6 linked regions of the Macaca fascicularis genome follow. The protein of the gene in region 4 purifies or fractionates together with the protein of the main gene of each other region. This does not show direct contact. Links are inferred from orthologs where the notes say so. Each region holds a gene or a part of one and is shown on either strand. Other genes may lie near its edges.

Region 1 (4,399 bases), on a different chromosome or scaffold from region 4:
GGGCCTCACTCTCACTCTCTCATCATTCTCTCACTCTGTTACCCAGGCTGGAGTGCAGTGGCGCAGTCCCAGCTCACTGTAACCTCCGCCTCCCGGGTTCAAGTGATTCTCGTGCCTCAACTTCCCAAGTAGCTTGGACAGGCACGTGCCACCATGCCCAGCTCAGTTTTTTTTTTTTTTTTTTGTATTTTCAGTAGAGACAGGGTTTCCCCATGTTGGCCGGGCTGGTATTGAACTCCTGACCTCAGGTGATCCTCCTGCTTTGGCCTCCCAAAGTACTAGGATTATGGGTGTGAGCCACGGTGCCTGGCTGAATCACTGTTTCTAAGTGCCTCCGAGAGAGATTCTGGAGTGTCCACTACTCTATGCTGAGACCACTCTAAAAGAACAGTTCAGCTTGTGGCTATAAGCTCTCAGGGGAGGGGGAACATTTTCCTTTTATTCCACTTCCCCCCAGATCCAAGGTCAAGATCAGCACACACCCTCTTCTTTCTTTGGGATGTATCTTCCTAGGTCACCTGTTCTAGTAGTTTTCTGTGGCTGCTGTAATAAATTACCACAGAGTTGGTGGCTTACAGTAACACAGATTTCATATCTTCCATTTCAGAAGATCAGCCATCCAAAATAGATTTCAGTGGACTGAAATCAAGGTGTTGGTGGGGTTGCGTTCCCATGGAGGGTCCTGGCTCCTGGGCTAGCCCCAGGGTGGCTTACTCCACTGGCCCAGAGGATTCGCATCATTTCTCACCTCATCACCTTGCTCTTCCTTTCCTACTAGCTCAGCCATTCACACAAATGCCTTTAGATTGCCCCCAACATCTTGTGGGTTCTGGGCCACATTGCTCCCAAAGTCTCCGCAGCTTTCTCGGGCTGCGCTTGCTCCCCGCCACCCTCCAGTTGCCCTTTCCCTCTGCTACATCTCCATGGTGTAGCATGGTTATAGACCCCGGAAGCTACGGTGTGGAGAAGGCATTGGCAGTGTCCCAAGATGAGGAGAGGTGCAGTTCACCTCTGTCCCTTTAGGTGGCCTGTTGGTCTCCATGTTCTCCATGGGGTTCTTCTAGTCCCCAGCCTGGGCTTTGCAGCCCAAATTCCACAGCCAGAGAACCACAACACTCACATGTGCCAGTCTGCCCACACCCCTCCCTGTCACTCTCAGGATGCCACCCAGCCGTGGCAGCCCTCAGGTTCCAGGCAGGGCTCCGGGCTGACTTGGCCGGTGTCTCAGGGATCACTTGTGAGTGCTGGGTCCTCGCTTTTCTGCTCTGTCCATGGCAGTGGACATCTATGGCATAACTGCAGTGCTGTGACTGTTGCATGTATCATTTCTTCCCCCACTAGAAAGTCTGCTCTGAGCAGGCAGAGCTCACTGCTGCAACCCAGTCCCCCGACAGTGTGTGGCACAGACTAGGGGTTCAAATGGAGGTGAATGAATGTGCAACTCAGAGCTTGGGCCAGCGGGCAGTGTAAGCACAATATGGGAAATGATAACATGGGGCGGGGAGTGGGTGGTGCTTGAGTCCCTGGCCAGCCCGACACACCCCCCTTTCCACCATGGGCAGTCCAGAGAGACCAAGAGGGCCTCCTTCCCCACCTTCCCCCAAACCCTCCAAGGTGCTCAGGAGGTAGCTTGCCTCTCTACTCAGTATCTTAAATAAACTGTTTATTCAGAAGGAATAATTAAAGAAAGCAACTGTGATATGGATTACAAAAACAAATAAGCATAGCTCCTCTCCAGGCTCCAGGGTGAGATGGCCCCGTGCCGCAAAGACTGCCAGCCCTGGGCTGGGTGAATCAGTGGGCTAGCATGTGTGTGTGAGTGCCGACACGCGCGCACACACACGCACACCCGCCACCCACAGGGGTGTGGGCAGAAATGAATGACTGTGTGTGTCTGCAGCTTGGCCCCTTCCCCAGCCCCCAAAGTAGCAGCGGCTGTGTGGGCCCCGCAGCAGCAAAAGTGAGGCCTTCTTCTTCCCCTCCCCCTCCCCAGCTCTCGCTCTGAGACCCCATCTCCTCCGGCAGCAGTTTGACCACCCTCACTCACAAAGAGCGCCAGTGATCCCGTCAAGACATCTGGGGGAAGAGGGAAAAAAAAAAGCCCACCAGATGTGTGGCCGGGAACCTGCCCAGTCGCTCCTAGGCCATGGATGCAGGCAGCCACTGCACCTCTGGGTCCCCATTCCCTGGGAGGCCCCAGCCCCGAGAGGCCCAAGCCCTTGGTGGAGAAACAGGGAGGTGACAACACCAGTGATGGCAAACTCCTCTCCCCCAAGCAACCATTTGGGGACAGGGGAGGGACTGGGAGCCAGTCCCTGTGGCAACAAGGTGAGACACACCCTTCCTGAAGGAGGAAGCGCAGGGAGGTGCAGGGCCCAGCCGAGCTGGCCGAGCACCCAGGGCCGGGGCCGGGGCCTGGACAACCACCTGGAGAGGGAACCCCCACCCCCATCCCGCAAAGCAAAAAGTAACAGTCGCAGAAGAGGCAGGCTCAGAGCAGCCCTGCCGTAGGCACGTTGATTAGGACGCCAGCCCGCGTGAGGTATTGCGCTCTCCCCCCAGCACCCTGCTCAGGCCGAGCCCTCCCGCCCTCCCCTCCCTTGCCGCACGAGTGGGCAGGGACACCCGTGGGTGGGGGTGGGGCAGGGGCCGGCCCGCCGGCCACTGGGCCCTAGGTGGGGGCCAGCTCGAAGGCGCCATCACTGGTGGGGGTGGTGAAGAAGGAGGGCGGGTCAGAGGCCATGGATGCCTGCCCCCCACTGCCCTGCTCCTGTGAGCGGCGCTCCTCCAGCCGCAGGCTGCGCTCAAAGTCCAGCAACTGCCCCATGAAGTTGAAGTTGGGGGAGATGTTAGACTTCTTTCTCTTGACCAGGTCATAGGCATCGTTGAGAGAGAGGTGGAGCTTCTGCATGAGGTAGGCCACAGTGACGGTGACAGAACGGCTGACCCCCGCCAGGCAGTGGACGAGCACCCCGCAGTTCTGGGACAAGGCCTCATCTAGATGGGGCAGGACAGGGCCCGGGAGACCCCGAGGGCAAGCGTGTGTGAGGCCGAGGCCTTCCGAAGACCCCGCCCTGCCCCCTGAGCCAGATGGCCACGGCCTGGAGTTTTCGCTGGTGGCCTCTGGGGGCCGCCCTAGCTCTGCCTGTCCCCTAGAAGTGCCACCCTGGCTTTTGGCTCTGGGAATGGCAGCTGGGCTTGGGAGGAGTGCTCACAAGGGGGAGGCCAGAGCAGGTCTTGGGGAGGGTGGGTGGGGCGGACTCACCGATGAACTCAATAGCCTCCGGGAAGAACTGCGACAGGTTCTGGCTCCAGTGGTCGGAGATGGGGATCTGCTTGTAGTGAAAGTCGCCATTCTTCTCGAAGAAGTTTGGGAGGTTGGGGGTGACATTGAGGATGTAGCGGATGCCCAGTTTGGCCAGGCTCTCCAAGTTGGCGGAATCCCGGGCACTGCCCAGATAGAGGTTGGGCAGGATCTGGACAGGGAAGGATGCCCGCAGCCCCACTGGCGGGGGTGTGGCACCCTCCGAATCCAGGCCACAGCTCATGGAGTCGCGGTCAGCCTCGGATTCCGCATCAGAGCAGTCGGAGCCCAGGCACAGACTGCCCAACCCCACTACAGGCACCGGACTGGGCACCGGGGCCATGCTGGAGCCGGCACGGCCACTAAGGCTGGTCTCACACAGGTGAGGGCACTCGGCCTGGAATCTGCTGAAGCCACCTGTGGGGGAGAGGGCATGGGGCCTGCTGACCTGGCCTCCTGGGCAGCCAAGTACCTCTGTCTGGGGCTGGGGAGCTGACCCTAGACAACTTGGAGGGTTTGCAAATGTTCCTAAAAGGAACACAAAACCCAGCAGCTTGGTGTGTCCTGGTGCCACGTGGAGCCCTAGCCACCCTCACTCAGCACTCTCGGCCACTGCTCTGGACAGCAAGTGCCCACTGCAGCTGCTGGGGCTGCAAGAAGCTGGGCTCACGCTGAACCACCGGAGAGGATCTTACACCCCTAGGGTCAAGCTGAGGCAGGTGTGAGGGCTCAACAGAGCTGAGATATACTGCCAGCCTTAGGGAGGACTGTGGCCATCAGTTAAAGAAAAGGAAGTTCTCTGCCTGGGCATGTCCTGACCCTCAGGGATGAAGTGGGACCCCAAGATGTGGGGAACTTGGGGGAGAATGTGACATTCCACCAGAATGGTTCTAAAGTCTCAAGAAGCCAGCATCTCTATTTACAGATACTATTTCCCCGGGCTGGAAACCTGACACTTTATATGCTGTTCAGGAGGCTAAGGTGGGAGGATCGCTTGAGCCCAGGAGGCTTCAGTGAGCCGTGATTGCACCAATGCTGTCTGACCCCTGCCTCCCTTGCTCATTTGCTGAGCAGGTGGGAGAGGTGGCGATACCC
Region 2 (5,168 bases), on a different chromosome or scaffold from region 4:
GGCCTCCACTCTTACACCTTTCTGCCGTTGGACTATTGACCTCCTGCTCCTCCAGGCACCCCTTACCTCCGGGCTGGTGGCTAACATAAGGGGATGGGGTTGGGGACTAAGGCAACCACCTCCTCTCAAGACCCTTTCCGGCCCCCATCCCAGGCCCCGCCTGTGTGTGAGGCCTCCTCAGAACTTAGGCAGGGGAAAAGGAAGCCTCCACCAGCCAGACAGAGCTGCCATGCTATCAGACGGTTCCTATATAACGTTTATTTCTGGAAGTTAAAGTAGATACAGCAATATACCAAAAAAAAAAAAAAAAAAAAAAAAAGACAAAAAACCCCACAATAATATAAATTTTTACACTATGAAGTACACATTGGAATTTGAATGCAGTGGCCAGGACAGCAGCTTATAAACCACCTTATAGGTAGGTAAGCAACCCACGGGATTCCCTCAGCTGGGCTGGGGACGGGCAGGAGGGCAGTGGACAGGAAGCGGGCAGGGCCTGAGGACCCTGTTCTTTAAGGGGCCAGAACAAGGCTCAGCTCCTCTCAGAACTTTTGCTACAATCAGAGTTAAGACCAGATACACATGCTACCTAAGGCCATGAACTTCATAATATCTGCTCCAGAGAAGCCCGAACCCTTTCCCGAGGTCCCTATGATTTAAACCCAATGGTAAGCCCAAGACTCACCTTCCTAAATATTCTCTCTGTTTATCAGTTAAGCTTATTATGTACTGAAGAGTGTTGCTGGAGAAGCGAGAGCTCTGCAAGACACATCAACTGTCTCCAGGCAGGAGGACTGGGGCGAACCCGGTTCATCTTAGAGAAGGTCCTCTCCCACTTAATTCAGAGACCAGCTAATTTGATCTAACAATCAGAATTCCACAGAAACTCTGATCAGCTGAGGCAAGGTGGTTTTGAGTCGCCAAATTCGGCCATGCCTCTGGGTCAGAGGCAGCCCACCCAGCACGTGCTAGGTGTTCCCATACGCACAGGAGAGGCAAGCTAGCTGGCCAAGGCGGGCAGACAGGGAGGCCCTCTACCTGTTCTGTCTCACCTGTGGGGCCCCAGCAGGGAAGAGTCACCAGCCTCAGAGGGAGGCCAGCTATAACCCTCATACGAGGGCAGACTCAAGTTTATCAGTAAGCCTTTGCCCTGCCTGAACTGACCGCTGGAAATCACCAAGAAACTGGGCTAAGAACCATATTCCCTGAGCTCAACCAGACACGTCGCTGGGGCCCCATAGTCTGCATCATATCCAACTGGTAACTTTCTCCCCCTCTTCTTCCATGAGGTCCTGAGACCAGGATTCCTAAAACAAACAGGACGAGGGACCTTCAGACATGGGAGGAGACATGCCACTAGCAGGGTCAGGGGAACTGGGGTCGGGAGGGTGGGGCAAGAAGGAAGCCCAAATCAGAAGTATCCCAGCCCTGATAAGGCACCCACAGAAACAACCTAGCCTCTGAAACAGCAGATCAAGTCCAGGGAGAAAGGGAGTCAAGGTTGTAAGCACCCTCTGCCCAGCCTTACCCACTAAAAGACCAATACATTACAAAGGAAAATAGAAGTCTATTTATAAAAAAAAGTCTAAAATGCTTAGATTCTCCTTAAACCTTCCTATTTCAACATCAAAGGCCAGGCTGCAGCTTCAGACGTCTTTTAAGGGTTTGACCTGAAGCCTGTTTCAGGGGTTATATAAATTATCAACCTGAAGGAAGCTGAATGCTTAAAGCACCAAGGAGGCTGTTAACTGAAGTTTCTTTTTCTTTTCTTTTTTTTTTGAGATGGAGTCTCACACTGTTGCCTGAGTTGGAGTGCAGTGGTGTGATTTTGGCTCACTGCAACCTCCGCCTCTTGGGTTCATGCCATTCTCCTGCCTCAGCCTCCCGAGTAGCTGGGACTACAGGCACCCACCACCACGCCCGGCTAATTTTTTGTACTGTTAGTAGAGATGGGGTTTCACCGTGTTAGCCAGGACAGTCTTGATCTCCTAACCTCATGATCCACCCACCTCGGCCTCCCAAAGTGCTGGGATTACAGGCGTGAGTCCCTGCGGCCGGCTGCTGAAGTTTCTTAAATACAGAAAGGCTATGCTGAAACAGTGTTTTTTGCCCTTTAATTGTTCTTATTTCTTAATTTAAAAAGAAACCTAGGGCTCAGATAGTCCTATCTTCTATTTGGATGTCAGCAAGGTTAAAAAGTGCAATGCCAGGAGTATGTAGCTACAGGTGGCCTGTGGCATTTGCTTACAGAAACAGGCAGAAGGATGCCGCGGGCACCAGGAGGCACTTGTCTAAGAACAACAACAACAATAACAAAAAGCTGCTGAGAAAGGAGGGCAGGGGAACAAAACAACACAAGACATTTCCTTTTTCTCCCTCTAGCCACCCCCCGCCACATCCCCCCATCACGGGTCTCAGAGAACACATCCTTATTTGCATTTAGATAAAAGCAGATCACCCACATTCACTCATTTCTCTTATTTTTAAAAGTGCCCAGATTGCTCAAAGATAGCAGAAGTAGGAGATTAAAAAAAATCTGGAACCACAAAGTTAGTAGTTTCAGATGATCTGGGGTTTGGCTGTGTGAGGGGTGGCGGAACACAGGTAGGCGCCTCAGTCGTATCTTTTGCAGCTTCCGTTCTCAGCTCCTCACATCGGGGAGGTAGCACACTCCGAGGTCAACTCCATGTCAAAGGTGAGGGACTCTGGAGGGACAGACAGGGAAAACTAGTTCAGTTGTCCACCCTCTGCAACTGGCAGGCCACGCCCCCAGCCCTTCAGAGGATAGGACCCAGGCTACAACTGCTATCCAATCTCCTGTCCCTTAGGGCCCAGGGATGGTCAGAAAAGCCAGATTTACTCTCCTCCCTAGAGGACCCTGCCTCTGGAAGGGCCCTTTCTCCTTCCTCCCTTAACCAATTCCCAGATCTCCATGTTTACAGAAGATCTAAGGCTGTCCTTAGATCTTCTGCCCTTGATCTACTGTTTAATTCAGGAGCCCCAAGACACACGTGGCCACCAAGCATTGGAGATTTGGTTTGTCCAAACTGGGCTGTGCTGTGGCTGTCAAAAGCCCACCGGATTTTAAAGACTTAGTATGAAAAAAAGAGTAAAAAAAAGGTCTCAACTTTTTCTTTTCTTTTAGTTTAGTTTTGTTGTTTTGAAACAGAATCTCACTCTGTCACTCAGGCTGGAGTGCGGTGGCACGATCTCAGCTCACTGCAACCTCCACCTCCCAGGCTCAAGCAATCCTCCTACCTCAGCCTCCCGAGTAGCTGGGATTACAGGCATGCGCCACCACGTCCAGCTAATTTTTGTATTTTTAGTAGATATGGGGTTTCACCATGTTGGCCAGGCTAGGCTTGAACTCCTGACCTCAAGTCATCCACCCGCCTCAGCCGCCCAAAGTGCTGGGATTACAAGCGTGAGCCACCCACCCAGCCTCAACTTTTTCTGAAATGTTAAATTTTTTTTTTTTTTTTGAGAGGGAGTCTCGCTGTCACCCAGGTTGGAGTACAGTGGCGTGATCTCAGCTCACTGCAAGCTCTGCCTCCAGGGTTCACGCCATTCTCCTGCCTCAGCCTCCCAAGTAGCTGGCATTACAGGCGCCCGCGACCGCGCCTGGCTAATTTTTTGTATTTTTAGTAGAGACAGGGTTTCACCGTGGTCTCGATCTCCTGACCTCATGATCCGCCTGCCTTGGCCTCCCAAAGTGCTGGGATTACAGGCGTGAGCCACCAAGCCTGGCCTGAAATGTTAAATTGACAGTATGTTGGATTTACTGGGTTAAATAAAATACACTGTAAAAATTAACTTCGTCTATTTCCAGTGTGGCTGCTAGATTTATACCCGCACGTGGCATTCATACCATTTCTTTTGGAAAGCAATGCTCTAGAACCTCCTACCATTCTGAGTGACCAGCTCTCGGTGTGTTGTACATGTGAGAGCATCATACAAAGGGGACCAACTTCCCTTACAGGGACAAAGTCTGTCAACCAAATACTCACCAAACTGCCCTCCTGCTGAGGGTTCAGCACCTTCACCATTATTTCCAAACTGCATCAATGAATCTAAAGTGCGGGGGGACATCGGCAGGTCAATGGTATTGCTGCAGGTCGTTCTGTAGGAAATGGGGGGCAGCAGGAGGGGAAACGGGGGGTTGACAAGACACAATGGAAAAAAAAAAAGAACAAAACACACACACACAAGCCATCAAACTCTGGTCTCCAACAGAAAAATAAAAGCTCAAGCTCTTTAAACACACAAGGTCACTGTGAGTACTAAACATAGCCCAGGGGCTTCCGACCCTCGGCAGATTAACTCTCACCCAGTGTCCTACTCCCAGGGATAACTGAGGATATTAGAAATGAAGGCAAAATTGGGAAAGGAAGCCACTTACGGTGTCACACAGATAAACTTGGTCTTCAGGTATGGGGCGGCGCCTGGGAAGAAGAAAACCAGTTTTCTTACTGACTGTGACTTCGCATTCAGTAAGCAGAGCCGGAGGAAGCCATCTGCCTCAGCTGGACTGATTTGAAACTCACTCCATCCTCATGCCAAGATTGTCTGGAAAGCTCCATCCGCCCCTCAGCGTTGCCCGCCCTCATCTATACTATTTGATGTCCTAGGCACTAGCAGCTTTGAACCTCAGTTCTTTGCACAAAGCTGTCCTGAGCTGCAGAGGCTTTTCAGCATAACCTTTTCCCACCTGAGCCTAGACTAATGCCAACCTTGTGTCCATTCTTTCCCTAGATTATGTAAAAGTTTAACAGCCTCCATGTAGTCTAAGGATTCTATTCTAGCCTGGTCATATCTCTTAGATAACTTCTCTGAATGCAGGAACCAAGCCTGCGTAGTCTTTGCCTGGTGTACCAACATCACCGAGTCTTTAAAGAACATGGAGACTGCTAATGCTTGTGGTTCCAAAGCCAAAGGTTATATCTCCTATTCCCACCAGCACTAATCTGGCCTCTACCACATTTTTGGATGAGGGCATAAGTAACTTCCTAGTTGGATAAATACATCAATCAGGAAGCACCAAAGAGAATATGACTTTGTAGGGCAGTACAATTGCTTCAACTAGACCGGAGACCTGGGTCCAGGTACATCTTCAATAGCTAAGAGACCTGGAGCAAGGCATGGTCTCTCTTTTGTTGTTGTTGTTGTTG
Region 3 (5,168 bases), on a different chromosome or scaffold from region 4:
GTATGTAACACTTATCTAAAGAAAGTAACTATAAAACACTGTAATACCTTTTTCTTTTTCAAGCAGCTGACATTTTGCATTTAGATTGTCTACTTGTTTAGATAATATAACAATATTCTCCTCAAGAGACTGCTTAAGGCTTAACATTTCATCATTCTTCTCTTTCAAATTTTCTTCTAACTGGGCAACATCTAGCTTGTATTTTTCCACTTGATCTGAAGCACAACTGCATTAAAACAAATTGTCTTAAAAAGCACATCTATTTAGGCACAGGGAAAAATAACAGAAAAATGATAAAAATGATTCAGTATTAAAAAAATAAGGTTCAATTTAAAGCTACTGCTCATATTACCTAATTTCTTCGATGTATTCTAAGAGTTTTTCTGTTTCAGATTTTTCATCAATCTTTTCTTTCTCTATTGAAACACTAAAACAAAAATTGCATATGTTAATACATTCTAGTTTCATTACTTAATAATCATACATAATGCTTATGTACCAGATACTGCTGTATCAGGCAGGCTGACTCCAGAGTCCTAACTCTTAACAATTATTTTATGTGATTTCTCAAATTCAGAATTTATATCCAAATACAAGACTAAAATTTTTATTTAAGTGATAAAGTTTTCTGAATATACACTGACAAAAAACCTGTAATGACAAGAACCATCATTACAGTATCCCAAGTGTTAGAAATAATATTTTTTTTGTGGTCTTCCTGGTTTTCCCACCCACCCAACATCCTAAATAGCATTTTGTGTGCCATAAAGCTTTTGTCCCAGACTACCTGGTATTTGATTACTTATCTGTTTACCTCCACCAAACCGTCCAATGCAAGAAATGGACAAAAGACTTCAACAGACACTTTGCAAAAGGTGATATGCACATAAAATGGTCAATAAGCACATAAAAATATGGTCAACATTCATAGCAACAAATTAAAATCACAAAGGAGATACCACTTCCTACCTAGTAGAAAGGCTAAAATCAAACAGACAACATTAAATGTTGGTGAGAATCTGTAACAACTGAAACTGTCATACATTGCCGGGGGGTGTATAAAAATGGCAAAACCACTTTTGAATTTTAAAAAACATTATATATACACTACCCTATTACCCAAGAATTCTACTCCTAGAAATTTATCTGAGAAATAAAAACATGTCCATAAAAAAACATAAAACATGTTCACAGCAGTCTTTTCAATGGCAGAAACTGGCAACAGCCCAAATAATGATCAAAAGGAGAGTAAAGAGATGGAGGTATATTCATAGGGTGAACCACTACTCAGAAATAAAATAGGAAAAATTATAGTACACAGAACAGATTGGATGAATCTTGAAAAATTACATCAAACAAAAGAAGCCACACACACACACATGCTCTTTCTCTCTTGCATGTCCTAAAAAAAGGCAAAACTGGACAGGTATAGCGGCCATGTCTCTATCTCCAGCACTCTGGAAGGTCAGGGTGGTATCACTTAAGTCCAGGAGTTTGAGACCAGCCTGAGTAACACAGCAATGCCCCATCTCTAAAATAATAATAATAACAATAATAATGATAATAAATAAAAAAAGACAAAGCTAATTCATGATGATGTAAGTGAGAAAGTAGTTGTGGGGATGGGGACATGGCACAGGCAGTAGCAGGGAGTCAAGAAGGGGTGTGAAAGAACTTTCTGAAGGGATGAAAATGTTCTCTATCTTGTTTGGTAATGGTTACATAGGTGTATACAACTGCTAAAGTCACCAAACTGAACACTTACTCTCCACACATTTTATTATATGTAAATTAAAGCTCAAAATCAAAGCCTATGATTGTGCATAAATCACAACTTCCTATACCAGTGTTTTTCCGTTTCAATCTAATGACCACTTTCATAAGATCACGAAACCTTTCCTCATCATTAATACAGAAGATGTACAAAAGTAATGCACTCATACAACTTTCTAGCACATGTTTGAGAATGATTAGGGCTCATTCTCATTTAAAAAAAGAAATAGGGCAACTGGAGGGAGGCAATGAGATAAGTACTAAGAGAAGTCTGAAGTCTCAGTAAACAATAATTTGTGAAGAGAGTCAAATCAAGAATTGCTTCCACTTAACAAGTTCTCTTCACATTCAGTCACTTACAGTTTTCCCTCCAGTTGGGCTATTTTCCCCTGAGACTCTTCGAGACTTCTTTGGGTGACCTGCAGCTTCATCTCCATGCCTTCTTGCTTAGCCATCATACCCTACACAACAAAGATACGTGTTTTAGGAAATGAGAAAATTGTACTGATCCCCAGATCCAGACACAGCAAACCTGCCAAAGGCAGCACTCACCCTCATCTTTGTTTCTCTTTTGTTTCTAAGTTTCATCAACTCCAAGCTTAGAATTCTCAAATTCTTCTGGTTACCATTTTCAGAAAACTAAGTACAACAAACACATAAAAAATTCAGAAATATTTTCTGCTAAGATATATTTAAAATACACAAGTATTGATTTTTCTACCTATCACTGGGGTTATGTTTTTGACTGTAATATGCTTTGGTAGAGAGAACAGTCTTTGACCTACACCATAATTACTGATTGATTTTTTTTTTCTTTTGTTTTTAAGAGATCAAGTCTCGCTTCGCTGTCCAGGCTAGAGTGGCGTGGCATGATCATAGCTCACTATAATCTCAATCTCCTGGACTCAATCCTCCTGCCTCATCTTCCTGAGTAGCTAGGATTACTGGTGTGCACCACCACCATGCCTAGCTAATTTTTCAAGTTGTTTATAGAGATGGGGTCTTGATATTTTGCCCAGGCTGGTCTCAAATTCCTGGCCTCAAGCAATTCTCCAGCCCTCAGCCTTCCAAAATGCTGGAAATACAGGCATGAGCCACTGCACCGGTCTACTGTTCTTATCTCTCTTTTCCTTAATATGACTTGCTGGTTTGTTTTGATTTTATTTTTATGAGACAGAGTCTTACTCTGTCACCCAGGCTGGAGTGCCGTGTTGCTCACTGCAACTTTCACTTCCCGGGTTCAAGCGATTCTCATGCCTCAGCCTCCTGAGTAACTGGAATTACAGGTGTGTGCCACCATACCTGGCTAATTTTTGTATTTTTAGTAAAGATGGGGTTTCGCCATGTTAGGCTAGGCTAGTCTCGAACTCCTGACCTCAAGTGATCCATCCGTCTCAGCTTCCCAAAGTGCTGGGATTACAGGTGTGAGCCACTATGCCTGGCCTGCTGGTTTAGTTTTGAAAGGTTGTTTGGGTGGTCACTTACCTCTGTGTGCTGGAAAGTGCATTGCAAGATTCTAAAGCAAGTCCCTGAGAAAGGATTTCTTGAAACATGTTTGCTTAACAAAATAAATCTGAATTGCCTGGTATACTTTGTTTTGTTTTGTTTTTTTGAGACGGAGTCTCACTCTCTTGCCTAGGCTGGAGTGCAATGGCACCATCTCAGCTCACTGTAATCTCCACCTCCTGGGTTCAAGCGATTCTTCTGCCTCAGCCTCCAGAGTAGCTGAGATTACAGGTGCCCGCCAATGTGCCTCGCTAATTTTTGTATTTTTAGTAGAGACGGGGTTTCTCCACGTTGGTCAGGGTGATCTTGAGCTCCCAACCTCAGGTGATCCACCCGCCTTGGCCTCCCAAAATGCTGGGATTACAGCCGTAAGCCACTGCGCCCAGCCCGAAAAAACATGTTTATATTTATTCAACTGTAAATGTTATCATGAGGCTCAGATACCTTAGATTTTAGTAGTTCATTAGTCCTGGTCAATTCAATAAGTTGTTTCTCCAGTGTAGCATTATTTGCAGAGAGAGACGTTTTTTCCCTGAGTGCAGCGTTCAGCCTTGCTTCCATCTTTTCCAACTCAGTTTCCAGATCCTGGATCCGCCTGTCCTGGGCACCACGTTCCTGTAGAAGAACACGAATCTGGACAAAAACAAGGTGAGAATAAATGATTACGAATAATCACCCCGAAAGTTTCTGGAAAAATCTCTGATTTTGACATTATGCTTGTAGATATTCTAATGTTACTAGCTATCTGAATAATCATATTTACCTATGATGCATCTTAAAAGTCTTAATGCATTTTAAGAACAGAAGAACTTTAGTTGCCATAAATTCCAAGTATAATTAAGCTATTTATTCACTTTTTTTTTTTTTGAGATGGAGTCTTGCTCTGTTGCCCAGGCTGGAGTGTGGTGGCAGCATCTCGGCTCACTACAAGCTCCGCCTCCTGGGTTAAAGCAATTTTCCTGCCTCAGCCTCCCGAGTAGCTGGGACTACAGGCGCCCCCCACCACGCCCGGCAAATTTTTTGTATTTTTAGTAGAGACGGGGTTTTACTGTGTTAGCCAGGATGGCCTCGATCTCCTGACCTCGAGATCCACCCGCGTCAACCTCCCAAAGTGCTGGGATTAGAGGCATGAGCCACTGTGCCCGGCTGCTATTTATTCACGTTTAAGGCATTTCCACCTATAACAGTTATTTTCTGTAGCTTCAATTACACAAATTCAAATTAGCTTAAAATACTAAATGTTTTTTATTTCAAGAAGGCAGAGCTGGGCTTCTGAGGAGAATGTACTAGGCATTGGCAAGCCATCATTCTTGCTGCTATTACCAGATTTAAAAAACAAAACAAAACAACAAAACCCCCCCAGACCAATATTTTGTCCACAGAAAATGTGGAAGCCAAAAGACAATGAAATGAAATGATATTTTTAATGTCATGGGGGGAAACCTGCCACCCTAAAATTCTACACCGAATGAAGTCACTGATATAAATTATTAGTTCTAATCCTGGCTTTACCACTCACTCACCAGCTATCTGACTGAGACTCAGTGATTATTCCTCAGTGATTAAATATCAACCCCTACATGTATCCTCAATAAAATGATAGCTAACATGATTAGAATACATACAAAACAATCAGAGCAACTGAGCAGACATCTACAGTTACTCTGACATACTCTTGGTCAAAAGCCAACATTCGACTGTAATCAAATGAAAGATTTTAATATATCGAAAGAATATATCCATGAGAAAAAGAGTTGGTTAGCAACGGAAACAGAAAAAAAAAAAGGCAGAGAAGCAAAGTTCACAGTGAGCTGCTTAGCATTGCTAGGAAAGTAAATGGGTTCTTTAGGTCAGTACTGTTCAACAGAAATTTCTGTCATGGTGGAAAC
Region 4 (5,168 bases):
CTTACCATTCCTCCTATACTTCTTAACTGTCTACAATGATGAAATTCTTCTACCTTTATATGAAAGATTAAAAGAAAGTTTCTCCCATTTTCAAAAGAAATTCAGTTCTAAACAACCAAGTATTTCTCAACCTTCACTCAGGTCAATACATAAAACCAATTCAACATTTAAGTAGACAGTTGTTAAATCTACATATACACATATATTCATATGCATGTACAGATAAACACATATAGATAAAACAGGAAGTTAGAAATAGCTAAATTTCTAACAGAAGACTGGATAAAAATGCTATAAAATCATTAACGATAAGCTAGATCTATGCACTGATGTGAAAAGATGTTCAAGACACAATTCTATTAACAATGACATTTAGGGAATAATTATAAAAGAATTTTACCTTCTTAAATATTTCTATAATTTCTGAATTTTTAAAAAAGTTAACCCTTATAATAATTATTTTAAAAAAATTAATTATAGAGAAAATACGTACACGTATGCAGATAAAGATATGGAAGGACAAGCACCCTATTCAGATTCCCCCCTCCACTTTTAAGGAATCCTGTTTTTATAAATGGGCCCACCTAGATAATCCACCTACCTAGAGAGACAATCCAGGAAAATCTTCCTATCTTTTTTTTTTTTTTTGAGACAGAGTCTGGCTCTGTAGCCCAGGCTGGAGTGCAGTGGTGAGATCTCAGCCCACTGCAAGCTCCCCCTCCTGGATTCAAGCCATTTTCCTGCCTCAGCCTCCCAGGTAGCTGGGATTACAGGTGCCTGCCACCACGCCCAGCTAATTTTTATTATTTTTTATTTTTTTATTTTTTTTTTTAGTAGAGATGGGGTTTCACCATATAAGCCAGGATGGTCTCCATCTCCTGACCTTGTGATCTACCCACCTCAGCCTCCCCAAAGTGCTGGGATTACAGGTGTGAGCCACCGCGCCTGGCAACCTTCCTATCTTAAAAGTCAGCTGATGGGCCTACTCTGGGCATACCACACCGCTCATGCATTAGCCCTGCCCTGTAAGGAGCAGTTGGAAAAAAAAAAAAGGTCAGCTGATAAACAATCTTGATTGCATCTGCAACCATAACTCCTGTTTGCCAGGGAACCTAACACAGTTAATAGGCTCCAGAAATTAGAATATAGCCATGGGGGTGGATGGGGGGGTCATTATTCCGCCTATCATGGTTTTATAATAGTATGATGTTTTAAAAACTAGCTGCCTAATATATTTAACAGGTACATGTTAAATGGGAATAAAGGATAATACAATTATTAAACGAAGATGACCTAAAAAAAAAAAAAGGGTAAAAATCAAATGTATCACTTTTTTCTTTTATGGGTACTCTAAAAAATCTTTGCCGGCCGGGCGCGGTGGCTCAAGCCTGTAATCCCAGCACTTTGGGAGGCCGAGACGGGCGGATCACGAGGTCAGGAGTTCGAGACCATCCTGGCTAACACGGTGAAACCCCGTCTCTACTAAAAAATACAAAAAACTAGCCGGGCGAGGTGGTGGGCGCCTGTAGTCCCGGCTACTCGGGAGGCTGAGGCAGGAGAATGGCGTAAAAACCCGGGAGGCAGAGCTTGCAGTGAGCTGAGATCCGGCCACTGCACTCCAGCCTGGGCGACACAGCGAGACTCCGTCTCAAAAAAAAAAAAAAAAAAAAAAAATCTTTGCCTAACATAAGGTCATGAAGATTCTCTCCTGTTTTCTTCTTGAAGGTTAATAACTTTAGGCCTTATATTTAGGTTTATGTTCCATTTTGAGTTTTGTAAATTTTGCATATGGGTGTCTAATTGTTCCAGCACCATTTGTTGAAGAGACTGACACAAGCAATGACGTGGATTTTTATAAATCTCAAATGCATTATGCTGAATGTGAGAATCTAGACATAAAAAGGCTACATACTCCATGATTCCATTAACATGACATGCCAGAAAAGGCACAACTATAGGGATAGAAATCAGATCAATGATTGCCAGAGACTGGGTTTGGAGAGGGGTGACCCACTACAAACGGCACAAGGCAACTTTTGGGGATGATGGGAGTATTATTCCACATCTCAATTGCAGCGGTTGTTATACGACAGTTCATGTTTGTTAAAATTCAGAGGCCCGCACAACTAAAAAGTGTGAATTTTATTCTGTGTAAATTATTATTCAATAAACCTGATTTTAAAAATTATCAAGTGACAAGATGAAAAGGTGTGATTTGTTTGCAGGGTTCAGCGCTGTGGCTCACGCCTGTAATCCCAGTACTTTGAGAGGCCGAGGCAGGCAGATCAAAAGGTCAGGAGTTCGATACCAGCCTGGCCAGCATAGTGAAACCCTATCTCTACTAAAAATACAAAAATGAGCCGGCGTGGTGGTGCGTGTCTGTAGTCCCAGTTACTCAGAAGACTGAGGCAGGAGACTCGCTTGAACCCAGGAGGAGGAGGCTGCAATGAGCTGAGATTGGGGCACTACATTCCAGCCTGGGCGACAGAGTGAGACTCTGTCCCAAACAAAAACAAAACAAAAGAAAGTGACCTTAATGCAAGTTAAAATTAGCAAAGAAACCAAAAGGGGGAGAACTAGACAGTCATTACCAGGCTCCCTTACTGCACTGCCACTGTTTCCCAAAAAAAGGGAAGACAGCAATTCAGAGTGAGCACTAAAGAAAGCATTATCCAATAGCCATAGGCTCACTTTTCAGGCTAGTGACCTAACAATTTAACAAACATGAAGCTAAGTCTAAGAAAAAACTAATCAACGAAATAACATTTACCTTTGGAGTCAGCATTTGGGAACAGCCTGTTCCATGGCACCTTATTTTTGTGTGGAAGAGAAAGCAAATAGTTCCTAGCTTTTAAATTTATTATACAATTCAGGTCTTCTTGTGATGGGGATCCAAGAATACCTATCAGATAAAAAAATTAGCTGTTAGTTATCAAGACCAAGGCAAATGACTACACACCATCAACTGTGAGTCAGAATGAACCCTGATAATTAACGGTTTATCACCACCCCTAATGCTTACCTTTCTTAAGTTTTTACACAAAAGTCCTTAACACTTTAAATCAGGGAAGGTTAAAAATTCACACCTACCACAGGTTAAAGAGTGTATTAGAATTCTTCTTAATTTAATGAAGTGACTTTGATATAAGCTGTAGGCAGGCAAACTTGAGTAAATTTAGCTCCTGAAGGGCTCGGGAACCTTACCCAGAATGTGGTTCAGCTGGTCAAGATAATGCTTCCCTGGAAAGATGGGCCTGTTAGAAAGCATTTCTGCCAGAATGCAGCCTACAGACCAAATATCAATGGACTTGGTGTAGCCCTGCAGGAGAAAGAGAGACAAGACTGAAAATGGCATCTGGTGTTATAGGACATGAAGAGATCTTCCTGTATGACAGGTACATTGCTGATGGGACTCTGAACTTCTCCTTTGACTCCACAATTCGGAAAGATGAGTAAACAGCATGGAAAAACAAAAAACAATTTGGCTTTCTTTGAGAAGCTGAACAACCAAGATTATGTGATTTTATTTTTCTCTTCATAGTTGATTAACTTGGGCTGGGCACAGTGGCTCATTCCTGTAATCCCAGCACTTTGGGAGGCAGAGGTGGGCAGATCACTTGAGGCCAGGAGTTTGAGCTTAGCCTGGCCAACATGGTGAAACCCCATCTCTACTAAAAATAAAAAAAAATTAGCTGGCCATGGTGGTGGGTGCCTGTAATTCCAGCTATGTGGGAGGCTGAGGCAGGAGAATTGCTTGAACCCAGGAGGCAGAGGTTGCAGTGAGCCAAGATTGTGCCACTGCACTCCAGCCTGGGTGACAGAGTGAGACTCCGTCTCAAAACAACAACAAACCCACAAAGTTGATTAATTTATTAAATTAGAATTTCCAAAGTATACATCAGTCCTTTTTTGAAACAATTTGAGAGACAGATTTAGAATTGTCATAAATTGGAGCTGGAAAAAGAAAAAAGGTCTAAAAATCTTTTCTGGGCTGGGGGGAGAGTGTGCTAACTCCAACATATTTTACCAAGCTCTTCTAAAATATTCTCGGCTGGGCATGGTGGCTCATGTCTGCAATCCCAACACTTTGGGAGGCTGAGATGGGCGAATCACCTGACGTCAGGAGTTCGAGACCAGCCTAGCCAACATGGTAAAACCCCGTCTCTACTAAAACTACAAAAATTAGCCGGGTGTGCTGGTGGGCACCCATAGTTCCAGCTACTTGGGAGCCTTAGGCAGGAGAATCACTTGAACCTGGGAGGCAGAGGTTGCAGTGAGTCAAGACTGTACCACTGCACTCCAGCCTGGGCAACAGAGGGAGACTCCATCTCCAAAAAATAATAATAATAAAAAATAAATAAATAAATAAAAGAATTCTCATCTTCTTTTCCTATTCATTTTTCAGGAATATATTTTCTTTTAAAGGAATCCTGTTAGAAGTCATGGGAGGATACTTTGGGAAGCTGAGGTGGGAGCACTGCTTGAGGCCAGGAGTTTGAGGCTGCAGTGAGCGCTGTTAGACTCCTAATGGCAGCATGTGAAAGAAAATGCATTTCCTCATGTCCTCAACAACACCGGGTATTATCTAATTATTTTATTATTATTATTTTTGCCACACACAGTGGCTCACACCTGCAGTTCCAGTTACTCGGGAGGCTGAGGTGGGAGGATCACTTGAGCTCAGGGATTGGAGGCTGCAGTGACCTATGACTGAGCCAATGCATTCCAGCCTGAGTGACACAGTGAGACCCTGTCTCTAAAAATAAAAATTAAAAAAAAATCATGTAAGGATTCTGTCTGAATTATAACAATGGTGCAAAAAAGATGTTTCTCCAAGGAATATAAGCTGACTCTTCTAAAATTAAGAGATGGTGTCATCACTCTGTCACTCAGGCTGAAGTGCAATGGTGTAATCATGCCTCACTGCAAAATCAACTTCCTTGTCTCAGGTGATCCTCTCACCTCAGCCTCCTGAGTAGCTGGGGCTACAAGCATACACCACCACACCTGGTGAATTTTTAAATTTTTTGTAGAGAAGGACCCCCACTATTTGCCCAGGCTGATTTCAAACTCCTGGGCTCAAACAATCCTCCTGCCTCAGCCAAAGTACTGGGATTATGGCATGAGGCACCATGCCTGGCTCCAGATGAGCCTTCTAATACAATGAA
Region 5 (5,849 bases), on a different chromosome or scaffold from region 4:
TCCCACCCGGAGTACCCGACGCCCAGGGTCCCGCCACCGGGCAGCCTCGGTCAGTCCACAGTTGTGGCCCCTTCCAGGGCCTGGACTAGGGTGAGCACGAGCCTTGAGCGCAACATTTAAGAAGGGCGCCGAAAAGTCAGTAATCAAAAGAAATATCTTGATGCAATGCCTCTTTAAACAAATAAACAAAAAAAAATGCAAAATATCCATGATTAATAAAATACTAAATTTTAAAAAGAGAAAGGATCCGTGCTGTGCCATCGTGAGCCATTTTGGAGCCCGGAGCAAAAGGAAATATCACCTTGCCCAAGCGGTGCCCCTCACAGCCCATCCGAGTAGGACCCGAGGGCCGAGGCATTCGGGGCGCAGTGGGGGACGAGGCTGGTCGAAGGTCTCGGAAGTGGAGGCTCCGCCGAGCTCCGGTGGGAGAGTGCAGGGATGCCCCCGGGACCGGAGGTGAGAGCTCTAGAGAGCAGCTCCGCCTGGAACAAAGGCATGGGGAGAGGGCGAGCTGGGGCGGGAGAGACCCGGCGGGTTCCGCTGCCCTCGCTGCCTGGGTCGGGCTTCCACGCGCGCGCTGGAATGGAATACGCTACTCTGCAGCCTCCGAAACTGCGAGCGAGTCCTGTAACTCCCTTGCTCTGTGATTCTCACTAACAAGACTTGGCAAGATGTCGGGCGAATAATTTTTGGCTTCTGCACGGTCCCCACCGCGTGCGTGCACAAACCCCCAGCCAAAAGCCGCCTCTGGGAAATTAAACGCAAAAGATAAATGGGGATGGGGAGGGCTGTTACGTGACCAGGAAAAAGGGATGCCCAGAAACCTGAATCAGGCCCAGAGCTGAAGTCCTTTCAAAAGGTCATTTTTTTACGGGTACATTTTCCAGGGTCCAGCTCCGCAGCAAATGTGGACCATGTCATTTCCTGAAAGGATAATTCACAACTATGCAAAATAGGGTGAAAACCTTTCCCAAATCCGAAAACCTTGTTTCTCCCCCGACCAGGGTTAAACAAACATCTTTTAGGAAGCGTGGACAGAAATGTAGACGGCTCTCCTCCCTCGGAACACCATTCCGGCAATTAATGCCTCCCTTTGGGTCGTAAAGCAACAAACCCCACACCTCACTCGGATCCTGGGCTTCGGGCGGGAGGACTTTCTCTTTCATCTTCCAAGCAGGGGGTTGCCCACGTTCCTGAGGAAGCTATAAAACTGATTTAATGGCTTTGGATGAAAATCGATCACGCTAATACAAACTACGTCTCAGGAATCACATTTTCAGAAAGGACTGGCCGTGTCGAAAGCGCATGGGGAGTCTGGGGCTAGGAGGTGCCAGGCCCCGCCGGGTGGGCAGCGGCGCTCTGGTCCCCTCTCCACTTGGGTACCCAGGAGAGACCTGCGGGGCTGTCACGCTGGGAAGCGCGAAGGTGCAAAGGGATGAAAGCTCAAACCCGAGCCCCGGCCTCCTCAGCCGGCTATATTCCTTTGACACCGCCCGCCTAGCGGCGAGGTGTAGCGGCGGCACAGGTGCCGGTGTCGGGTTGGAGGCGCGGCGCAGCCTGGGCCAGCGGGCAGACAGCGAAAGGCGCCGCGCGCTCCATTCACAAAGTCCAGGCGCTGCCTGCAGCTCGCGGCGGGTCGGAGGCCGCCTCGCTCTTCCTCTCGGCCTCGGTTTTATGAATGGGCCTGGCGGCGAGCACCCCGCGCCCTGTTTACTCCGCTCTTTGTGACGTCGAGTTCCCGTGACCAGGAGCCAGCGGCCGCGCTCCATTCAAGCTCCGGGGAGGGGGTGGGAGGAGGGGCTGGAGGGGGCGGGGAGTCAGCGCGGGGGGCGGGGGAGGGCGCCGAGCCCGGAATGGAACGGGGCGGGGCCTGGCGGGGTAGTACCTAGCGCCCCCTCCCCCTGGAGCGCGGAGGAGCATTAATAAATCTCTAAGCCTAGGAGGAAACTCTGGCTGGGGTAGTGCGCGGCGCGCCGGGGGAGCGTGGGGAGCGGCAGCGCCTGCGCCGGTGGCGACAGGAGCCGCGCGACCGGCAAAAATACACGGGAGGCAGCCGCCGAAGAGAGTCCGCGGTCCTCTCCCGTAAACACACTCTCCTCCACCGCCGCCTTCCCCTCCGCGCTGCGCGCCGCCCGGCTGGGCACCCGAGGCCGCTCCAACTGCTATGTGACCGCGAGGCTGCGGGAGGAAGGGGACAGGGGAGAAGAGGCTCGCCCGCGGGAGCCCCTGAGGACCAAGTTTGCGGCCACTTCTGCGGGCGTCCCTTCTTAGCTCTCGCCCGCTTCTTCCTGCAGCGTAGGCAGCCCGGGTGCCCTTCTCTTCCTCGCGCGCCCAGCCGCCTCGGTTCCCGGCGACCATGGTGACGATGGAGGAGCTGCGGGAGATGGACTGCAGCGTGCTCAAAAGGCTGATGAACCGGGACGAGAACGGCGGCGGCGCAGGCGGCAGCGGCAGCCACGGCGCCCTGGGGCTGCCGAGCGGCGGCAAGTGCCTGCTGTTGGACTGCAGACCGTTCCTGGCGCACAGCGCGGGCTACATCCGAGGCTCGGTCAACGTGCGCTGCAACACCATCGTGCGGCGGCGAGCTAAGGGCTCCGTGAGCCTGGAGCAGATTCTGCCCGCGGAGGAGGAGGTGCGTGCCCGCTTGCGCTCCGGCCTCTACTCGGCGGTCATCGTCTACGACGAGCGCAGCCCGCGCGCCGAGAGCCTCCGTGAGGACAGCACCGTGTCGCTGGTGGTGCAGGCACTGCGCCGTAACGCCGAGCGCACTGACATCTGCCTGCTCAAAGGTAAACGCGGGCTCCGGGCGCTAGCTGGAGGGGAAATGGAGGGGGTCTTGGCGGCCTGCACCTTATTGGCACGGGAAGGAGGGCCCGGCGAGATTCGTAGTTGCAGGGATCCCCGCGCGCCCTTTTGTGTGTTGGTGTGTACGGGTTTGCGAGGTTTCTGTGCAAGTGAGAGCTTCAAGTCCTCAGGGACAGTGCGGACGGGTTCCCCCGCTCACCTGCAATTCCGCACCGTCCTAGCGAGGCCCCGTTTATTGAGACTAACGGTCCTGGCCTCGAGGATGAAGCGGCCACTCTGCGCGGCCCATCTTGAGTCCCGGGAACAGTTCCCAAGTACCACGGGGCGCGTGGGGACAAGATAGGCCTGTTGGTTTGGCTTGCCAGGGCCCTGCACTGAGCCGGACCTGGAGAATCAGAGAGGTGGGGAAAAGGGTGAAGAGGGGTGGACGCCGAGGTACAATTGGCCCTGCCAGTTTCACTGAAAACAAGACCCTGGCAATGCAGAAAGGAGATTGGGTTGCACACACCGTGTAGAGCGATCTGTATCTGCGTTCCCGCTGCCCAACTCCGAGCTCAGCTTGGAAGGTGGCCAATTCCCGTCCCGGGCTAGATCCAGGCTCTGGGAGCGGGAGGCTGGAGGACTGGGTATCTGGGGGACGCCGGGCGGAACCGGTCCTCTAGCTCCTGCAAATCCGGGCAGCGGACAATGACCACCTTTTGTTCAGCCCGGATTTTCGACTATCTGATGGCGGCGCGTGCCGGATTTTAGCGAGCCCTGGCGAAACTCTTGGCGGCGGGGCTGTCTTGTCACATTTGTAGTCAGACATCCCGGAAAAATCGCGTGCCGTCCGAATCCCTGGAGGGATCGGGGGCCCGCCACACCTGCAGGGCCGGGTGGGTCCGCGGCCCTCGGGCTAGGGAGCGGGCAGGGCGCGTGGGGTCCGGGCGCTCCCTGCCGCGCTGCGCCCCCCGCCTCCCGCAGCCGCATTCCGCGCATTCTTTCGTGCGGGTCGGGTCTGCGCTTCCGAGCCCGGGAGGCATTTCGGACCCCCCCACACCCCATCAAAGAGCCGCTCCTCCCCCTGCAGGCGCCTTCGCCGCCTCCCTCTTTTCCTTTCCTTTCCTTTCCGCTCCTCTTCCGACCTGTCCACCAGGGAGGAAGGGAGCTGGAGGGGGGCGGAAACCTCTCCCCTCCAAAAAACACAACAAAATTGCTCGGTGCTGAGGAGCCGGGTTCGCCCCTGCCGAACAGCGGGGGGCTTTGTTCTCCGCAGTTGTTTCCTGCCCATTTGACCTGTCAGCTGCTGGGGAAACGCTGCTGTTGACCTTTGGTTGAACTGCTAAGGCGATTTTGCTGATTTTTATTTCTTTTTCCGCGGGGGCCGTCTTTTGCTCCTCCAATTGAGCCCAGTCCCCCTCCCTTCTCCCCAAAGCGCTCCAAGAGAAAGTGCCAGGAAGGGGCTTGTCCCGGAAGGCCTGACCGCTGAGCGGGGCCAGGTCCTGATTAGGCCACCAGGGTGGGCTTCCGCGCCATTGTTTGAGCTTGTCGGCGCTAGTGGGAGAGATGAGGGCAATTCCTCTGGGACGCAAGTCCCCTGGAGTGGCCGGGGCTGGCCGGCATGTTCCCCGCACGGCGCTGCCCTCGAGTCCCCCCGATGGAGAGCGCGGGCGCGCCTTCCTTCGCTGGCCTCCAAACCCGGGACCCGCGAGAACACAGGAGGGCTGGGCTCCAGCCCCACGTGGAGTCTGGGTTTGTTTTGTTGTGTTTTGGTTTCCTTCCTGGAAGAAATCCCGAGGGGACCGCTCTAGAGCGGCATCTCCGGGACCTCGTCCCTTGGGCTTCCGGGGTTGCAGCCACTTAGGCCCCGCTCCCGGGGAAAAAGGGATTATTTTTTAAGGTTTATTCCCAGGGCGCGCGGCATTTCCCTGTCCCTCGTGAATCCCGTTGAGAGTCCACCTCCCCAACCTCCTCCGTTTCCTCAGCCAAACCGATTCGAAGCCCTGGAGACTCTGGGCGAGGCTAGGGACTGAGTGGGATAGGCCTCTTGGTAAAATGACAGCCCTCCGGTGTGTGGTGAGGTGCCTGGCCAACGGAAGAGAAGTATTTTAAAGGGCTGTTTCCTCCTGGAGCCTGCACTGCCTCTCGTAGTCGGCCCCGATGCGGGCAGGGAGGATCATCTTCGGCATCGCCAGGTGGACATCCTTGCAGATGGAGGTGTGCAGGCCTGGGCCACAGATCAGCTTCGGTCTCTTCTGGAATAGCCCCTCCTTCCCTGCCCCCTGTAACCAGAAGTTCAGCTTCTACTTCACAAGCAAAGGGAGCCTGCCCTTGGAAGCAAGCACTTAAAATTGAGAGGTGGGGGAAATCTTCCAGCTTGCTCTGTAGTGGTGATGAACATCTTTGAGGTTAATTGGGCCCTATTCGTTTTAGCTTAGCTGATTTTGACATATGTGTTCAGCAGAGGCCATCTTTAACCCAGTTCCTCTTCCTTGCCCTCTAATGGAAAGCATCCCTAGAGAGGTCAGAAGGAAAAAGTCAGTATCTGCTCCCACAGCTCTGCGGGTAGGGGCTGGGGAAGGAAATCAAGGTGTCTCCCAGGTCTCCAGATACACCTCCCTTCCGTGCCTGGAAGCCAGTGCAGTGGATCAAATGTGGTTTCCCGGGAGGGGGCTCTGGGGCAGAGACCTAAAGAGGAATTTTGAGAAGCAAAGGAAGAAAAAGCTCCTTAGATTATCTCTAGTAAATGCCTTAATTGATGAAGGATTGTAGAATTTGTTTCCTACTGGAGTTGTTCATTTTATTTTCCAGTGAGGGAATTTATGTATGTCTCATTTCATGTGTGCCTGTGCATGTCTGTAGAGCAGGACAGGAAGCCAGTGGAAGGCCTGAGGGTTGGTGTCTGCCATTCTTGGAGGGGTTAGGGGAAGCAGTAAAAGCAACAGAATATTTTCAGAAGTGATAGTAGCATTCCCAGCCAAAGCTAGCTAATTGTCTTAATTAATTGTATTTTAAAATTCAGTTTTTCTATTTCTGCCACGTTGAGGGGTTACTTCACGTTGAAT
Region 6 (4,220 bases), on a different chromosome or scaffold from region 4:
TTTATCTTGGAGCTGCTACGAAAGGAGGAGTACCAGGGCGTCATCGCCTGGCAGGGGGACTACGGGGAATTCGTCATCAAAGACCCTGATGAGGTGGCCCGGCTGTGGGGCGTCCGCAAGTGCAAGCCCCAGATGAATTACGACAAGCTGAGCCGGGCCCTGCGGTGAGGACGGGCTGGGGACCCCTGAGCACATGTGGACTGTCCCCACCCGATGCACAGCCCCTTGCCTGTGGGAACAAGCATTGGGTCTGACCCCTGGCTTTGCCAAATCCTAGCTGTGTGACCTTGGGCCACTCCCAGCCCTTCCCTGAGCCCCTTGGTAACGCAGAAGTATCTTGAGGAGAGAATACGGTCACCAGTGGATCCTCTAGTCTTGCCTTACATGTGAGGAGAGAGCTGGTACCCACTCTCTGGGCACTTGATTTGTCTTCTGTGGCCCACGTTCCTCAGTTGGCCTTTGGGACCACACCTAAGTGCGTGTTAAGGTGTGGAGTCTAGACCTGGATCCCACATACCTGACCCTCCCAATGGCATTTCTGTACCCACAGCTATTACTATAACAAGCGCATTCTGCACAAGACTAAGGGGAAACGGTTCACCTACAAGTTCAATTTCAACAAACTGGTGCTGGTCAATTACCCTTTCATTGATGTGGGGTTGGCTGGTGAGTACCGGGGATGGTTGGTGTGGAGGGGGTCTGTGTGCCCCTTCAGGCTAGGCCAGGGGCCTTGACACTGTCTCCCTTCCGCCAGGGGGTGCGGTGCCCCAGAGTGCCCCGCCAGTGCCGTCGGGCGGTAGCCACTTCCGCTTCCCTCCCTCGACGCCCTCCGAGGTGCTGTCCCCCACCGAGGACCCCCGCTCACCACCGGCCTGCTCTTCATCCTCATCCTCCCTCTTTTCTGCTGTGGTGGCCCGCCGCCTGGGCCGAGGTTCAGTCAGTGACTGTAGTGATGGCACATCAGAGCTGGAGGAACCGCTGGGAGAGGATCCCCGGGCCCGACCACCTGGCCCTCCAGATCTGGGTGCCTTCCGAGGGCCCCCGCTGGCCCGCCTGCCCCATGACCCTGGTGTCTTCCGTGTCTATCCCCGGCCTCGGGGTGGCCCTGAACCCCTCAGCCCCTTCCCTGTGTCACCTCTGGCTGGGCCTGGATCCCTGCTGCCCCCTCAGCTCTCCCCGGCTCTGCCCATGACGCCCACCCACCTGGCCTACACTCCCTCGCCCACGTTGAGCCCGATGTACCCCAGTGGTGGCGGGGGGCCCAGCGGCTCAGGGGGAGGCTCCCACTTCTCCTTCAGCCCCGAGGACATGAAACGGTACCTGCAGGCCCACACCCAAAGCGTCTACAACTACCACCTCAGCCCCCGCGCCTTCCTGCACTACCCCGGGCTGGTGGTGCCCCAGCCCCAGCGCCCTGACAAGTGCCCGCTGCCGCCCATGGCACCCGAGACCCCACCGGTCCCCTCCTCGGCGTCGTCATCCTCTTCTTCTTCTTCCTCCCCATTCAAATTTAAGCTCCAGCCACCCCCACTTGGACGCCGGCAGCGGGCAGCTGGGGAGAAGGGCCCAGCTGGTGCTGACCAGAGCGGTGGCAGCGCAGGCGGGCTGGCCGAGGGGGCAGGGGCGCTAGCCCCACCGCCCCCGCCACCACAGATCAAGGTGGAGCCCATCTCGGAAGGCGAGTCAGAGGAGGTGGAGGTGACTGACATCAGTGATGAGGATGAGGAAGACGGGGAGGTGTTCAAAACACCCCGTGCCCCACCTGCACCCCCCAAGCCTGAGCCCGGTGAGGCACCCGGGGCATCCCAGTGCATGCCCCTCAAGCTACGCTTTAAGCGGCGCTGGAGTGAAGACTGTCGCCTGGAAGGGGGTGGGGGCCCCGCTGGGGGCTTTGAGGATGAGGGCGAGGACAAGAAGGTGCGTGGGGAGGGGCCTGGGGAGGCCGGGGGGCCCCTCACCCCAAGGCGGGTGAGCTCTGACCTCCAGCATGCCACGGCCCAGCTCTCCCTGGAGCACCGAGACTCCTGAGGGCTGTGGGCAGGGGACCCGTGTGCCCCCCACCCCCCATGCTTCTTTTGCTGCCTTAAGCCCCCTGTGCCCTGGAGGTGAGGGCAGCTCTCTTGTCTCTTCCCTGCCTCCTCCCTTTCCCCTCCCCACATTTTGTATAAAACTTTAATTTCTTTTTTTTAAATGGTGGGGGTGGGTGGGTGCCCAGGGCTAGGGGCTGTTCCCTGTCTCTGTGGGTTTCTAAGCTCTGGGCAAAGTGGTGGTAGCGGGGAGGGAGGGGGAAGTTAAGGGGGCCACCTCCATTCTGGGGAATTTATATTTGAATTGAGGCTTTGGCCTTAACACCCAGGAACTTTTTTATTACAATCGCTTAGGAAGTAAAGCCTTGTCTCCCTCCCTGTTCTCTGCCTCTTGTACCCCTCTGGCCCACCCACTCTGCCCCACTCCCAGCCCTTCTCAGCCCCAGCCCTGCCTGCCCTGCCCCTCCAGGGGGCCATGAGTGCCTAGGTTTCTCATACCCCACAAGGTCACAGCAGGGGAGGGAGGGACAATTTTATAATGAACCAAAAATTCCATGTGTTGGGGGGTGGGGGGCGGAGGAGGGTGAGGGGTGCCGCCCATGGGCCACAGATCTCTACAAGTGCCTGCTATCCCTCTCCCACTCCCCACCCCAGCACCGGTCCAACCCCTTCACCCCCAGCTGCTCCTAGGACTGGCCCATGGGCAGGCGGGTGGGGGGATGGGAAGGGGGTACCCTGAAACCAAACTGGAAGCCTCCTCTGCCTCCCAGCTGGGGCCTCTGGAGTGGGGTGGGGGGCTGTGGTCAAGCCTTATTCTGTATTGGGGACTGAGGGTGGGGGTAGTAGAGGGGCCGCTGGAGAATGTATTCAAAACAATAAAACTTTGGACCTTTGGATGCGGTGATCAATGTCCTAGGTGCTGGGTGCAGCCCCCTGCTTTTGTTTGATTCTGAAGGAGGGGCCCCAGCCTGGCTGCCAGTGGGTCTGTGGCCAGATCGGTATAGAGGGCCTAACCCTAATCAGAATGGGCCAAATCCAGGCCTGGGAAACTGTCTTGACCTCAGAGGCACTTAAGTCCCAGAGTTTGATGATAGTGGTCTCGGGCATGCACCAGCTTCATCTGACTGCCCCTCTGTTCCATGGGGACCTTGTCCTTGAAAGCTCTTCCCACTGTTTTTCACCACAATCCCACTGCCCTTGCTCTTCTGATTGCCTGGATGCCTTCCCACTTGTGGCTGTGAATTCTTCCCACACCCCAGGTCCCCAGCGAAGACCAGGAGCTCCCTTTTGCACTGCCCCTCACACCCTGCCCACACCCTTCTCTTGTTGCTCTGAGTTCAGCCGGGAGCCCTTTGGAGAACAGAACAGCCTGCAAGTTACCTTGCAAGGTAACTTGGTGATCTTCTGGTCCAGCCATGGGAACACCCCCAGCCAGCACACAGCCAGGGGACTGGCTCACTAGTCATCAATGCTGTTGATCTACTGTGTGTCCAATACTTATGAGCTGCAATGTTGTAGCTCTTTCATTATCTAGTAAGGTAGGGGCAACCGGTGCTGCTAAGTGACTTGCCCAGGGCCCTGTGGCTGAGCCAGGACTTCAAAGCCCACGTTCTTTCAACAACTGAGTTTTCCTTCCTAACACCAAGATAGTTGGATCCAGATCAGGCTTTCAGGATCAGAGGATTTGAGATGAGCTCATAAAGCTAGAAGCTGAGATTGGAGAGCTCGAATCAGGGATGAAAGAATTAGGAGGAATAATCCAGGCTGGAAGTGCCTTTAGAGACAAGTCCTGTCTCTTTCTCGCAGGTGAGGTGCCTGAGGCCCAGAAAGGGGAAGGGGCTTCCCCAAGGCCACACAGCTGCTAAGAGATGGAGTGGCAATTGAGGGCTTGTTGGACTGGCTTCACCATGAAACTCCACCCTGTGCAACCCTGAGGGGGAAGGAACGTTGACTGGCAACTGCTACCCACTCGCACCTCATTTCATGCCAGCCAGGGTGGGTGGTCCCAGATGATGTCGGTTGGCAGGGAAGAGAGGATCCAGAGCTAGGATACTGGCAGGAAACCGAGGCTCCTGAGGCGGCCTGCGGGAAACTGCTCCCTCTCCTGGGTGATGTAAGTCATTCCCTGGGGTGGGGGCCACTGGGCTATTTCTGGAAGCTGGGATGAGACATGTCTCCTGGCAACATAGTTGC

The links.
Region 1: the proteins of MAPK1 (region 4) and DUSP9 purify together in Homo sapiens (affinity purification with mass spectrometry; 5 studies listed by BioGRID and IntAct, with this or other methods). This does not show direct contact. The link is inferred for Macaca fascicularis from reciprocal best matches to the Homo sapiens genes MAPK1 and DUSP9.
Region 2: the proteins of MAPK1 (region 4) and STAT3 purify together in Homo sapiens (affinity purification with western blotting; 3 studies listed by BioGRID and IntAct, with this or other methods). This does not show direct contact. The link is inferred for Macaca fascicularis from reciprocal best matches to the Homo sapiens genes MAPK1 and STAT3.
Region 3: the proteins of MAPK1 (region 4) and HMMR purify together in Homo sapiens (affinity purification with mass spectrometry; 4 studies listed by BioGRID and IntAct, with this or other methods). This does not show direct contact. The link is inferred for Macaca fascicularis from reciprocal best matches to the Homo sapiens genes MAPK1 and HMMR.
Region 5: the proteins of MAPK1 (region 4) and DUSP4 purify together in Homo sapiens (affinity purification with mass spectrometry; 6 studies listed by BioGRID and IntAct, with this or other methods). This does not show direct contact. The link is inferred for Macaca fascicularis from reciprocal best matches to the Homo sapiens genes MAPK1 and DUSP4.
Region 6: the proteins of MAPK1 (region 4) and ERF purify together in Homo sapiens (co-immunoprecipitation; 3 studies listed by BioGRID and IntAct, with this or other methods). This does not show direct contact. The link is inferred for Macaca fascicularis from reciprocal best matches to the Homo sapiens genes MAPK1 and ERF.

Annotation. Positions count from the first base shown.
Region 1 is NC_088395.1:159,705,694-159,710,092, reverse strand, and holds the end of DUSP9 (dual specificity protein phosphatase 9), read right to left. Parts: intron 3,722-4,399; coding exon 3,266-3,721; intron 2,998-3,265; coding exon 2,672-2,997; 3' UTR 1,649-2,671; downstream 1-1,648. UniProt on the Homo sapiens protein: Inactivates MAP kinases. Has a specificity for the ERK family.
Region 2 is NC_088390.1:63,362,413-63,367,580, forward strand, and holds the end of STAT3 (signal transducer and activator of transcription 3), read right to left. Parts: intron 4,443-5,168; coding exon 4,400-4,442; intron 4,121-4,399; coding exon 4,008-4,120; intron 2,706-4,007; coding exon 2,650-2,705; 3' UTR 239-2,649; downstream 1-238. UniProt on the Homo sapiens protein: Signal transducer and transcription activator that mediates cellular responses to interleukins, KITLG/SCF, LEP and other growth factors. Once activated, recruits coactivators, such as NCOA1 or MED1, to the promoter region of the target gene.
Region 3 is NC_088380.1:170,197,054-170,202,221, reverse strand, and holds part of HMMR (hyaluronan mediated motility receptor), read right to left. Parts: intron 3,913-5,168; coding exon 3,724-3,912; intron 2,413-3,723; coding exon 2,326-2,412; intron 2,235-2,325; coding exon 2,134-2,234; intron 428-2,133; coding exon 353-427; intron 227-352; coding exon 48-226; intron 1-47. UniProt on the Homo sapiens protein: Receptor for hyaluronic acid (HA). Involved in cell motility. When hyaluronan binds to HMMR, the phosphorylation of a number of proteins, including PTK2/FAK1 occurs.
Region 4 is NC_088384.1:31,334,399-31,339,566, reverse strand, and holds part of MAPK1 (mitogen-activated protein kinase 1), read right to left. Parts: intron 3,320-5,168; coding exon 3,205-3,319; intron 2,903-3,204; coding exon 2,771-2,902; intron 1-2,770. UniProt on the Homo sapiens protein: Serine/threonine kinase which acts as an essential component of the MAP kinase signal transduction pathway. MAPK1/ERK2 and MAPK3/ERK1 are the 2 MAPKs which play an important role in the MAPK/ERK cascade.
Region 5 is NC_088382.1:32,536,615-32,542,463, reverse strand, and holds the start of DUSP4 (dual specificity protein phosphatase 4), read left to right. Parts: upstream 1-1,951; 5' UTR 1,952-2,356; coding exon 2,357-2,789; intron 2,790-5,849. UniProt on the Homo sapiens protein: Regulates mitogenic signal transduction by dephosphorylating both Thr and Tyr residues on MAP kinases ERK1 and ERK2.
Region 6 is NC_088393.1:49,302,908-49,307,127, reverse strand, and holds the end of ERF (ETS domain-containing transcription factor ERF), read left to right. Parts: coding exon 1-164; intron 165-550; coding exon 551-666; intron 667-754; coding exon 755-2,028; 3' UTR 2,029-2,921; downstream 2,922-4,220. UniProt on the Homo sapiens protein: Potent transcriptional repressor that binds to the H1 element of the Ets2 promoter. May regulate other genes involved in cellular proliferation.